Schizosaccharomyces pombe: one gene and its partner. The protein of the gene in region 1 interacts with the protein of each later gene in a pairwise test. Each region holds a gene or a part of one and is shown on either strand. Other genes may lie near its edges.

Region 1 (7,856 bases):
ATGTTGTCGTTAGATAAAGATAGAAGCTTGAAATCTTTAGCTTCTATAGTTATTACTAAACAAGAAGAGCCTATAGATAGTATTTACGATATTCTACGAACAGCTTGGGATACGTCTACGCCTCGCCTGGAGCAATACGCTTCCGAATATATGGCAAATCATTTGGAGCACTTGATTGACGATCCTGAATTCTGTGAATTAGTCAAAGAAAGTGCTGATCGAATTTTACAGAGACAAGAAACAGACACGATCGAACTCATTGATGATATTCGTTATTTCCTCTCAAAACGTTTTGGCATTTACCATGAGGATTTGTGCATTGATGGAGTTGTAGATACATTAACACCTTATGAAAGCGAATATAATCAAAAAATGGAGATGATTGACGATTTACTAGATAAACTGGAGCTACAAGCTTAATGGCAATGGTAGAAAAAATAATATTTCTTGAACACTTCAACTGTTTAAATTAATCATTATTAAAATTCAAATTCATAGAAAAGGCTTTATCTCAGTTTGCGCATTGCAAAATAAAGTAACGGGATACTTTTAGTACCATCACCGTTTTTTTTGTGTTACTGGTAGCTGTAATTTGTTTTAGTTGTTGCTTTAAATGATAAAGAATAATGAAATCCTTAATTTTGAACCATGGCAATAAACAAAGGAATGGAAATTATTTTCAATCTCTAATTTCGAAATTAACATCCCTATAACCCATCGTTTTAGTTTTACCATTTGCTAACCTTACCCAACCTTCGAGACGTATTTTAATCGGCTTCAAAGGCTACAAATTTTTACTTATTTATATTAAAATGGAAATAGAGTACGAAAATGAATATGTTCATCAAGTATATGATAAGATTGCAACACATTTCTCAGATACTCGATACAAGGTAAGTTAATACAACGATATTTAATTAAAGCTAATCAGTCATTTTGTAGCCATGGCCAGTGGTTGAAAAATTTTTAAAATCTTTGCCTTTGGGCTCTGTAGGAGTAGACATTGGGTGCGGAAATGGCAAATACCAAAAGGTTAACCCAAATGTTTACATGATAGGAAGCGATCGTTGCGTAAAACTTGTTAAAATAGCAAGCAATCTAGGTCCTATGGTTATTTCTGATGGCCTGCACGTACCTCATCCAAGCAATCGGTTTGATTTTGCCTTAAGCATAGCTGTAATCCATCATTTCAGCAATGAAAACCGAAGGTTGCAAGCTGTTCAGGAAGTTTTAAGACCATTAGTAAAAGGAGGGAAAGCACTATTTTTTGTTTGGGCTTTAGAACAAAAGAATTCAAGGCGTGGTTTTTCAGAAGACGGACCGCAGGACGTTTATGTTCCTTGGATATTAAAAAGGCAATATGAGTATCCAAATGCAAAGCCGGAGGAATTAAAGGGGCACGATCCTGCTGAAAATATTGCGTATCAACGTTACTACCATTTATTTCGCAAGGGTGAATTAAATGAGTTAGTAGAGACCGCAGGCGGCTCAATATTGGAACATGGCTACGACCGTGATAACTGGTGGGTAATTGCTGAAAAAAACTAAGTTTTGGAATGAAAATTGATCGTCATATCACCTTGATAGAACAGATTTTTCATCTTTCTTGAACTTGTTCTCAAAAAGTTGGAATATTTCTATTTTACCTTAATTACATAGTTTAAACTATTTTCGTTCGGAAAATGATTTTACAGATTTTTTTTTTTAATCTAACTGGTAGAAGAATTTCTGTGTTTTATGTCTCGATTATTAATTTACTGCGTTTAATTATAAAATGAAGCGATGAACTAGTCATTCCCAAGGGCGAAAAGCGGTCAAATGTACTTGTTTTCAAAAAAAAAATTGACGGTTTCTTAGTATGACAATAGTGATAATTTGATATCGATTGAAGTGGTTTTCTGTTAAATGATACTATACATCTGTGAATGGGTTGGAAATTAAAATGTTAATCTAATTTTTGTTAATAGTTTATTCACGTAGGTTAGTGAAATGACGGTTCAAAGGTTGCATAAGTATTGGAAATCGATGAAGTATGTCAAGCAAAAACATTTTGTAAAATGAATAAATTTCAAAAAAAAAATATTTTTTTTTAGAATAATTTGGAATAATCATGCATTTCTGTATATGTTAAACTTTTAATATAAATCTGTGCTTGAGTATGAAATGAATTATCTAAAAAACAGTGTTTGAATAAACGTGTCCCAATAATAATGATAAATTGTAAAAAATATGTAGGAATTATACAAAATTTATTAAGCCACAAATAGGAATAGTAATTAACGTACAAAATTTGATTTGAATTTAATAATTTAAATGCGACTAAGTTACTTGCTTTTCTATTTACCAAAACGAATTCCAAAGAGAAAAAAATAAGCAATTAATAGTTTGGCAAAACACTTACTGCATGAATTAAATTAATAATCCGACATGCATTAATAAATTCTTGGTTGCTAAATTCAAATAAAGAAGTAATCAGCAGTTCTTTGCTCCTTAGTCGAATGATTACTTTTTTTCTATTCCATTCACCTTCTATTTCGTATTTGTTATATTCATAAAGTCTAGGAAAAATATAAAAAGATTTCCAAGATCCTAATTATCTATTTAAAATTATTATGTTGATATATCGTCGCGTAATATAATTAAATCTTTTTTTATCGAAACCTCAACAAGCTTTGGTGGTTTAGTGGTATAATGAATCGTTGCCATCGATTCGACCCGGGTTCGATTCCCGGCCAAAGCATTATTTTTTACCAAAACAATTTTTGGATTTATTTTGATTTGTTTGAATTCAAGCACGTGGTACTCTGGATACCTAAAATATGTACAACTATAGATTCCAGTAATATATATATTGCAAATGACTGAACTCAATTCTTCAGGCGCTATACTGTGAATGCAATGTTTCTACGATTTTTTGCCATGAAAAATAACGATGCTTATTTACCACGATTCAAAGTAACTAAGCGTTTGGTTATATTCGCTTGGAATACCAATCTACATTACAATGAGGAGGCAATAATTGCTATGATATAAAGCTATTGTCAGAACCAAAAAGTCCTGAGTTTATGGGAAAGAGTGAGCTTACTAGTTATGTAAGATATTACACTCTCTATCACAAAAAAAAGCAAGTATGCGGTAACAATTCTTCGATTCCATGACTCTTTTTAATTGGCAAGTTGTTGTGCTTCTTCCGTCGGTCTAAAACAACTAAATTCTTATTTATTGACATCTTTAAGACCAAAATAGTCGCTTGTCAAATTCGTTACTTCCAAGTGCCACCATGTGCTTGTTACTTAAGAAAAATTTAGACAGTCACACGCTCCTATTTATTAAGGAAGTGTAGTCAGGTTAGCGAGAAAAAGTACATTTTTTCTGTTTTTTTTTATTTTTCTTAATTTTCTTTAATAATTTTTTTTAATTGTAAAGGAGTTGTTAAGATGGAGTCTGAATCTGTTCCCACCGTTCCTCAAACCACTCGTCCCGGTCCTCGATGCTATAACTGTGGTGAAAACGGTCATCAAGCTCGTGAGTGCACCAAGGGTTCAATCTGCTACAATTGCAATCAGACCGGTCACAAGGCTAGCGAATGCACTGAGCCTCAACAGGAAAAAACTTGCTATGCTTGTGGTACCGCCGGACATCTCGTTCGTGATTGCCCCAGCAGCCCTAACCCCCGTCAAGGTGCGGAATGTTACAAGTGTGGTCGTGTTGGTCACATTGCTAGAGACTGTCGTACAAATGGTCAACAAAGTGGCGGACGATTTGGTGGTCATCGCTCCAACATGAATTGCTATGCTTGTGGCTCTTATGGCCATCAAGCCCGTGATTGCACTATGGGCGTGAAATGCTACTCTTGTGGTAAGATTGGACACCGCAGCTTTGAATGTCAACAAGCTTCAGATGGTCAACTTTGTTACAAGTGTAATCAACCAGGCCACATCGCCGTCAATTGCACCTCTCCTGTAATTGAGGCATAAGTGCTTGCTATTTATAACCCTTTGTCGTGGTATGAAGATATTTTTTCTTTTTCTTGTCCGATTTATTCAAATTTGGCAAGTGGTCATATTCTTACAAATCCCTTGAGCGATCTGCGCATTTAGTTATATAGAAAGCATAATTTTACATCCTTCTCTTCGTCCTTATTTTTTCGCACACTTCTGAATTCATTTTTGCTTCGGATCCTTAAGGATATTTGTACTGAAGCCTGAGATGCACCACCTCATTTCTCTCCTGTTTTCTCGTCACCGCTAAAAGATGGATGTTGATAGATTAAATCCTTTTTGTTTCAGTTTATTTTTACTGTTGTAGTGGCATTTTTTTCCTATTATTTTCAATTCACGAGCTTGAAATAAAAAAATTTGGAATATGGGAATTCTATAAATGATAGAAATTCCTTGGTCCATTTGGATGATTTGTTTTTTTTAGTGCCATTATTTAATGGAACTTTTGGTTTTATATGACAACTCACTATCAATTTCATTTACGAAATGGGTTTTGGCGTTTTCGTATTTTTTGAGTAACTTAATTTACCTTATGTGTTTGTACAGTAAATGTTAATGCTCTGACTTATTAACAACTTCTCTACTTCTTAATCTCTCATGGTATCTGTATAACAATATTTACAAAAGGGTTCTGGGTCATTTGCCTAATTAATATTATTTTTTCCTTGCATTGCTTACTCTGCTTTTCAAAAATGAACTGTAATTGAAAACGGGTGAACGATAAATGTAACAGTTGTCATAGACAAAAAAAAATTTATTAACTTCAATTTTACTTTCATACAAATTTGACATCGAATTTGTCTATTACATAAAATCGTAGTATATTAATCCAAAATTTTATTGTTCACATAACTCAGCCAACTGCGCTCGAAACAAACGAAATAAACTTCTTGCAAATTCACCTTGAGAATGGTAAATACTCTTGAACGCTTTCTCTTCATCCCTAGCCAATTGAACATGCTCCGATAACCAAGAGGGGAATTTTTGACCAGGCCTGCTTATATATCCCACCCCTAAACGATCTTTCATAACATCAAATTTGTATCTACTTACAGGTTCATAAAAGTCAATGATTGCTTCTAAGCATTGATCACATATATTGGTAGCAACAGAAGGCCGGTAAAATGAGGTAATGCAATCTTTAAACTTAGTTAACTTCGGTATTCTATTGCAAAGCACACAACGGCCTACAAGATTGCATGCTAGCTCTATATATGTAGACTCATCGCATGACTGTGTTCCATCTCCTGTTTGGATGATCGAGGAGGCTAACGAAGAAGTATCAGAATGAATTGTCTTTGCTGCATAACTTTGATAACTTGGATCAAGAAAAATTGGAATGATTGTAGGGATATCGGTAAATTTGGCCACAGCACTTGTGTTTATAGACTCAGAGCAAGTTACAGCCGAATTTGGATTTTTTTTATGCACCTTAAGTAATCGTTTCCAAAATGAAACATTTCGAGGGCTGAGAATCTTTTTAAAACGTAAACATGTATTGGGGAGGTCATGGATAAGGGTATGTCGTTGTTTTCTATATGAAAATGCAAAGGGTAACTTCTCTATGTATGAAGCATCATAGCAATATGAAAAAATCAGCTGTAAAATTTCATCCGGACAATCCAAAATTTTTGCATACTTAGGACTCTCAGATGAGTATCTATAATATAAATTTGACTTAGGTGAAGCAACAGTTAAATTTAATGAAGAGTCAAGATTATCGCTACTTGGTATTTTTCTGAAAGGCAGGACTTGGGTAGTATACTCGGCATAATCATTAATCAATTCTAGAAGATTTCTACTTAGTGAGCATTTATCAAGTAGACCTTCATAATCAATCATTGCTGAAGCATGCGAATCTCCATCAACAACCAACGTATTCCAGACACCATTCCAATTGTCTTCTTCATCAAAATTAGAACAGATCGAAACCAATCGCTTCATGGCTCTTACTCTTGCTAAACAATGCACAAATTCATCAAATGTTTGAGGCTTGAAATATGAGCTTCTTATTTTTTTGCGAGTATCGATTAGTATTCTTAAAAACGATTCATCTTGATCCAAGTGCTCATTCACGCTGGTATTCATATAGCATGTATGCGTTTTGCAATTTTGAAATGAAAATTGAAGCATTTAGTTTGATTAAGTAGTAGTACCCATATACAGTTCGTTGATGGTGATGTTGGCTGACTGCAAGCTCAATTTGCCGGTTATCAACATTGCATAATTATACATCACATGGTTACTTACTCATACCGGCCTGAGAATTAGGTGAATAAAAACCTATATAGAAAACAGAAGTTTTATAATAAAAACTAGTGGTATACTTCGCATATTATACTAATGTGGATCGAATTTAATTCTTTGTGTGAAAGACGTAACATTGGTGTTATCAGATCAGATAAGACAAATTGATCAAACCCCCCGGCGGGGGGGGGGAAACTTGGTGCTTTGAATTTCATTATTGAGATTTTTGCTTTGCAAATTTAAAGAATTGTGAATGAAAGAGTTTTATTTATTATTAACGACGTGTAGCTGAATTGCATAACTTTAAGCTTGATTTAAAAATTTGCTATTTAAAGTTGATATAGTTCGAGTAAAAAAAATAAACTAACAAAGGTACCTCAAAATTTTACATACTTTACTATTGCTAGTAAAAATGACAAGCATAAACACCTACGGTTTATAAAGTCAACAATATATATATATAAGATAAGGATAAGTAATTAAACTTCTACATCGCTGAGACGTACGCAGTTGAAACGTTTTAACATAATCAGATCATTGAAAGTAAATATTTTACTCTTTATTTTGCTCATATATGAAAAAGGCGATTTTAAAATCGGATGCAAATTTTTTTTAAATCGAGTAGATATTTCAGCATCATTGAATAAAATTCTGAAACATCCATTCATACTTTTCAACATTTAATTATAAAAAAGTTTGGTTCGTAATCACTGAAACGTAGAAGCAGGATAAATTTAAATTATCCTTGAAGCTTTTTTAAAGAAATAAGAAAAATATCCTATTTGGGATAATTAGACGGCTCAAACACTAAGGATTAAAGTTTATTACAATTAGCATTTGTAGTATACAGAATGCTATATGTTAAGGAAAAAGAACGAAATTAAATGAATTTGGAGGTCATGAGGCACGCAACATTCGATCAGGTTAAATAAACAATAAGGAATAAGAAGAACTCCCTATAAAAATAAATATTTCGGTTTCCTTTATTTACGTTGTTACAGTGAAAAATGAAGAATTTGCAACAAAAAAAAACTTTAACTTAGTACTTTTTAAAACGTGATATTCTCATCGTCATCAACCTCTAAACTTTGTAGCCTAGCATGTACGAAATCTGGTGCAGAGGGAACGCGTTGAGTTTCTGAGTCTTTTAGGTCAGTCATTTGAGCCTCTTCAGCGACGTTGTTAGTATCATGGTCCGTAAGGGCGGTAGTTAAATCTGCGGGTTGATCAGGTGGTAACTCAAAACCATCCTCAGTAGAATAAAGTATTGCTTGAATACGCTCCAACATATTTTCCATTGACATAGGAGAAGTGGTCAAATGAGTTTGTACAAGTATTTCAATTTCTCGAAGCTTGTTAAAATAGAAATCACGTTCTCTCTCCAAACCAAACATCGTCTCATTAACTTCGTACAACTGTGTTTCAAGACTAGTGATTTGTTGTTGTGCTTGCTTTGCCCTTAACACTGCCGCAGTATTTGCAGTCGAAGACACGTTATTGTTGTTTGCTGATGACTTAGTCATTGAAGGTGTAGAACTACCAGAAGAAACCTGACGGCGACGAGAAGGGCCAGTTGCTCCTGCAGAGGAATTCATAACACGAGTGTTA
Region 2 (5,946 bases), on another chromosome or scaffold:
AACTTGCATTTGTTTACATTTTAATAGTCAGTATATAAAGGCATCTATAACTCTTTGGCATTTACACCAACCTTTGTCGACATTAGACTAAAGAGTCTAAAGGGACAAGTTATCAAATCTACCTGCATAACTTAATTTTTTTTTGTATAGCGGCAGTCATCGGCTAGACCTTTGAAAGCGGACAGCTTGCATTTCCACTAACCAACTTAAATATCACTTAATGGCGTCGTTAACAACAGCTTTACCGAATAAAGCCGTTGTAGCCCATTTTATGATGGGTCTTACGTACAATTATGCTCAGAGTGATTTCCAAAATGACATACAAAATGCAATTTCTTTGGGGTTGGATGGGTTTGTGCTCAACTTTGGGAATGACAGTTGGATGATGAGCAAACTGACTTTGATGTACAATGCTGCTGATGCATTAAATCTTCAGTTTTTGCTTTACCTCAATCTAGATATGTCTGAAATGTCAACGGTTCCCGCTAGCACTCTTGTGACCTATGTTCAAACTTTTGCTAATCGTGGCCATCAGGCTCGGATTAATAACAATGTAGTCGTGGGCACATTTCTTGGGCAGGATATTAATTTTGGTCAGTCTTCAGTAAACCAAGGTTGGCAGGTAGCATTCAAAAACGCGTTGGCTTCTGCTGGTATCAATATTTTTTTCATGCCCACTTGGCCTCTCGATGCTAGTACTATTTATCAGACATATCCAGTTGCCGATGGATTCTGCAAATGGAATTGCTGGCCTTATTACACAAGTTCCCCTACTAGCGATGCTGAAGACTTAGTTTACATACAAAATAGTAAAGCCACAAACAAAAAATATATGGCTACTGTCAGTCCAATATTTTATACACACTTTACTTCCAAAAATTATTCTTTCTTTTCAGAAGGTTTATGGTTTACCAGGTGGATGCAACTTATTAAAGACCAACCAAACTATGTTCAAGTTTTAACTTGGAATGACTATGGAGAAAGCACATATATTGGTCCCACTAATTATGCTGCTGACTTTCCGGTCATAGGATCAAACTCTCATGAGTGGGTTGATTCGTTTACGCATGCACCTTTATCTTATTCACTTCCCCTTTTCATTCAAATGTATAAACAAAATACTACAGGTCTTCCATCTAACTTCAGCGGAATATCGCAATTATACGTTACATACCGGGTGCATTCAAAAAATGCGACAGCATCGTCAGACTCAATTCCTCGACCTGATAACTACCAGAACAGTTCTGACGTTATTAGTGTTATATCCTTTGCAAAGTCATCGTATACTTTGCGCGTTAGCGTTAATGGCACCGTACTAGGTACCACCAATGTCAATGCAGGTGTTCAGTCAGCTAATGTTAGTTTCATTGTTAACAACACAGCTGCTGCAGGTCTTCCACTCTTTCAAATTTTAAATGGAACGACAGTTATCGCTCAGGGGTATGGTCCATTAAATATTCTTGGTAACAATTCTGTTGTGCTATACAACTTCAACTTCTGCACCACTAGGATATCCTGGTAATTCCATAAACTAAAAGTGGAGATCAAAATTAGTCAATCCTGATGGTATGACTGAAGTTTACATTACTTTTTGGTGGCAGGTAGCTTTGATAACTTTTTAATACAAATATTTTTGTTGGTGTCAACAATTGTAGTTGATGTAGATTAATTTTATTTTATTTTTTTCAATTGTGCAAACACAAAGAGTACTCTACTAAAATAAACCTGAAAGTTCGATACCGCTTGACACTTGGGCTGCTGATCAACTGACCGTAACAAACTCCAACGAAGTGGTATCAATATCTCAAGCACGTCTTCACTTAGCCTTCCAACTACACCATTTAATCTGCGTTTTATATAATGAGTTTAGCTAACCGCATTGAAGAAATCCGGTGCCTTTGTCAGTACAAGCTTTGGAATGACCTTCCTTCTTATGGAGAAGACGAAAATGTGCCTCAAAACATCCGCCGTTGTTACCAATTACTCGATATGACCTCGAGATCCTTTGCAGTCGTTATTAAAGAATTGCCAAATGGTATTAGAGAGGCTGTTATGATTTTTTATCTTGTCCTTCGTGGACTGGATACAGTAGAGGATGACATGACGTTGCCTTTGGATAAAAAGCTTCCAATCCTAAGAGATTTTTATAAAACAATTGAAGTCGAAGGGTGGACGTTTAATGAATCTGGTCCTAACGAAAAGGATCGTCAGCTTCTCGTAGAATTCGACGTGGTTATAAAAGAATATCTTAACCTGTCAGAGGGTTATCGTAATGTTATTTCGAACATTACTAAGGAAATGGGTGATGGTATGGCTTATTATGCCTCTCTTGCCGAAAAAAATGACGGATTCTCTGTAGAAACTATAGAAGACTTTAACAAATATTGTCATTATGTTGCCGGATTGGTGGGAATTGGACTATCTCGTTTGTTTGCTCAATCTAAGCTAGAAGATCCGGATTTAGCTCATAGTCAAGCTATTTCCAATTCTCTTGGACTCTTTTTACAAAAAGTTAACATCATTCGTGATTATCGTGAGGATTTTGATGATAATCGTCATTTCTGGCCTCGTGAAATTTGGTCCAAGTATACTTCCAGTTTCGGTGATCTCTGTCTTCCTGACAACTCTGAAAAAGCTCTTGAATGTTTATCTGATATGACTGCTAATGCTTTAACACATGCTACTGATGCTCTCGTTTATCTTTCTCAATTGAAGACTCAGGAAATATTTAATTTCTGTGCTATTCCACAAGTAATGGCAATTGCCACATTAGCTGCAGTTTTCAGAAACCCGGATGTTTTTCAAACTAATGTTAAGATAAGGAAGGGTCAGGCTGTCCAGATTATTCTACATTCTGTAAACTTGAAGAATGTTTGTGATTTATTCCTTCGTTACACCCGTGATATTCATTATAAGAACACTCCTAAAGATCCCAACTTTTTGAAGATTTCAATTGAATGTGGAAAGATTGAGCAAGTATCTGAAAGCTTATTTCCACGGCGCTTCCGTGAGATGTACGAAAAGGCCTATGTTAGTAAGTTGTCTGAACAAAAGAAGGGAAACGGAACTCAGAAGGCAATTTTAAATGACGAGCAAAAGGAATTGTATCGAAAGGATTTACAGAAACTAGGCATTAGCATTCTTTTTGTATTTTTTATAATCCTTGTATGCCTTGCTGTCATTTTCTATGTGTTCAATATTAGAATACATTGGTCAGACTTCAAAGAGCTTAATTTGTTTTAGTCCGTAAATTTAAAAAACTTAAATACTGGTTCAATATCGATAATATACAAGCAGTTTATTTCCTTAATTACTCTATGAAAATTGAAAGCTGTTTTGCTAAACAGAAGACAATTTAGAACTTGATTTTTGATCCTGTCTACAGATAGTGACTACAATTAATATAGGTTGTAAGATAAGACCACAATGAATGATGAGATATACTCGTGAGTGTTAAGCAAGCAACGGTTTGAGTCTTATGTGTGGGTATTTATGCCGTTGAAACTTTTTGTCGTTTTAATTGCTAAAGATCGTTAGAATGGATAGCTAAATCGGAATTCTTACCTCTGTACTATGTGCAGTGTCAGCAGTGGACCTCTTCTTAGTAGCTTTCGGCCGTTCTTCTCCAGGTTCGAAAACTTCATCAGGTAAAGCAGTACTAAAATGTGTGAGAGTGTATATATATAAAATGACTTACTTTTTAGTATTCTTAATGAAAACGTTCATTAAGGTGTCATCATATTTATCCCATTTTTTGCACAACTCGTAAAATTCTTGGGTAGGCCAAGAAATATCAAGTCTTTTAATTGGATGACCTAATAAAGTTAGCATAATTAATTTCAAAATGTAGTATCTTGCCTTTCTTCTTTTCAAGTTCAAGCCCTATATAACATGTTGTAGTGTAAACAGGAAAAATTTGTTTTTCACCATTTTCAGAACCATCAGCTTTACTCTCAGTATTGTCGGCTTTCTCTTCATTAACTGTATCGTTGGCTAATTTTTCATGATCCGTAGATTCATATGCGACTTCAAGAGTAACGCCGCTAGCTACTTGTTGAGCTTCTTCTTCACTGGAGCAATTATACACTTTATCAAATCCTTTATTGAAAGGATGTGCCAAAGCAATAGCATCAACAAGCTCCAGTCTAGTAACCAAATGACGAAGCTTAGATTCAACCAAACCTGCCCACTTCAATTGAGCTTCAGCTGTCTTAGCAGCTGCTGTGATCGTAAGATAATGCTTATAACGATGAAAAAAGTCGTGTTTTTGAAACAAAGCTGACCAGGGAAGAGCCTTGACCATTATTTGGTCAGCAATTTCTCCAGCCCGAACCATTTCGCGAAGGATAATTGTTTGGGTGGATAAAGTAATGTTATGAGTTGCACACATTGATGGATAAGCCGGGGTTATAATTGGCATACGGTGAGCTTTGTCGGATGGATAAAGTTTTGGATTCCAGATACGTACTTGTAAGGGGCCATCTTCAATGGGCTTTAACAATATTGGTTGAGGCCAATTCCATTGATGAAGAATACGAAAAAATTTAGCAACAATCACAGAAGATACTGCATTCGGATATAGTTGGCAAATTCGAGCTACCATCATGGCCCAGGCGACTCCTCCAGGAAATCCTACGACATTAGCGTATATTGCACGACGTTGAGCCCAAAACTTTATGGCTCTTAAAGCATGCTTAAAAACAGCACGATTAGGGACAAGCTGCAGAATCTGATCCGTAACACGTGTACCATTCAAACTTAGCACACATCTTTCTTCAACACCCTTTAATAAGTTATTATCAGACAATTCGAGGTCGCGGGGAACACGCGGAACTGAAAGACGAGCAAAAATTAAATCTATACTTATTCCCAAAAATTTAAACTTAATAATAGGAACATAGGCGTCAGGTACAGCAGCAAGGTCAGTTACCTCTTCTCTTTCTCGAAGCATAGGTTCCAAGTCCTGAAAGAAATTGTCGCGAGAAACATGCTTGGGTACAACGACTAGGGTATCTATGTCTGATCCAGGTCCATAAACGCCCAGTCTATAACTTCCGTACGTAAAAATTTTCCCCCCTGCCTCATTAGCCATCTTTTCGTTCATATGTTTGGCAAGTGATACTTTCTTTACAAATTCTGTCGTTATTTGTTGCAACTCATCAAGAACCTTTACTCTTTTTTCAGATTCGGCAGGAGATTCAAACAAGTTTTGGTTCTTCAACTCATTAATTAAAGCCGTATTCAAAGCATTTTCCTGTTCAGTAGCAGGTGCAGTACTAATTGGCGGTGTAATACCCCATTGCTTGGTAGTCATGCTTTGAAAACAAAAATTGGAGTCTTGAAAGGTAGCTGTTTTAAATTATCCTAACCTTTAAAAACAACTGGTTTAAAGCGTACTAATGCTAAATGTGTAGATCTGGTTAGCATTCGTTTAGGATTTAAGGCATAAATACGCAATTTCACAAAGTGCGTTATCTTATTATAATGTCAAAAAATTCATTTACAGTTGCACTGAGACATTTATTTCGATTAAATCAAATTTAATTTATCTGGTAAATTATACAATTGTTGCTGTTTATCATATATATCTTGACAGTGCACTATGTTCATTATCTGACAAACCGATTGCTCCTGGTTTTGTATTTAAAAGCTTACCCGTTAAATTCCATCCTTCAGATATGCATTTTTTTTGGTTGAATAAACTAGCGACTTGAAATGTAAAAATAATTTATGTTGCTGAGAAGTGTAAATGATTCAGAATCCACATCTATTTATTGGATTTACCGCAGTTGTAGGGAAACTGTCGAATTATTGATGACAAGTTCTCCAAAACTCTTTGCAAACAAGTTTCAATGTATGAAATTGATTCCAAACAGTAAAGAATTATTATGCTCATAAAGATTATCATAGCCATGTTTCGAGAGTTTAGATAAGCAGCCGAAATCT

What was found. The genes of interacting proteins can lie anywhere in the genome.
Region 2: the proteins of pof14 (region 1) and erg9 interact in binary tests that used the Schizosaccharomyces pombe proteins (3 or more experiments, as listed by UniProt).

What each region holds. Positions count from the first base shown.
Region 1 is NC_003424.3:2,244,064-2,251,919, reverse strand, and holds pof14 (F-box protein Pof14), read right to left. Parts: upstream 6,186-7,856; 5' UTR 6,135-6,185; coding exon 4,839-6,134; 3' UTR 4,792-4,838; downstream 1-4,791. Other genes in the region: ubiquitin ligase Btb3, read left to right, coding at 1-420; tRNA (uridine) methyltransferase trm9, read left to right, coding at 813-893, 943-1,548; byr3 (translational activator, zf-CCHC type zinc finger protein), read left to right, coding at 3,438-3,977; microtubule plus-end binding protein, EB1 family Mal3, read right to left, coding at 7,298-7,856. UniProt on the Schizosaccharomyces pombe protein: Expression is induced during oxidative stress. Plays an essential, SCF-independent, role in the stress response to hydrogen peroxide for survival, by negatively regulating ergosterol synthesis via direct binding to the squalene synthase erg9.
Region 2 is NC_003423.3:928,357-934,302, reverse strand, and holds erg9 (squalene synthase Erg9), read left to right. Parts: upstream 1-1,830; 5' UTR 1,831-1,860; coding exon 1,861-3,243; 3' UTR 3,244-3,301; downstream 3,302-5,946. Other genes in the region: glucan endo-1,3-alpha-glucosidase Agn2, read left to right, coding at 221-1,522; mRNA cleavage and polyadenylation specificity factor poly(A) polymerase Pla1, read right to left, coding at 3,491-3,523, 3,565-3,658, 3,698-3,815, 3,859-5,314; gta1 (glutamyl-tRNA amidotransferase alpha subunit), read right to left, coding at 5,945-5,946. UniProt on the Schizosaccharomyces pombe protein: Squalene synthase; part of the third module of ergosterol biosynthesis pathway that includes by the late steps of the pathway. Erg9 produces squalene from 2 farnesyl pyrophosphate moieties.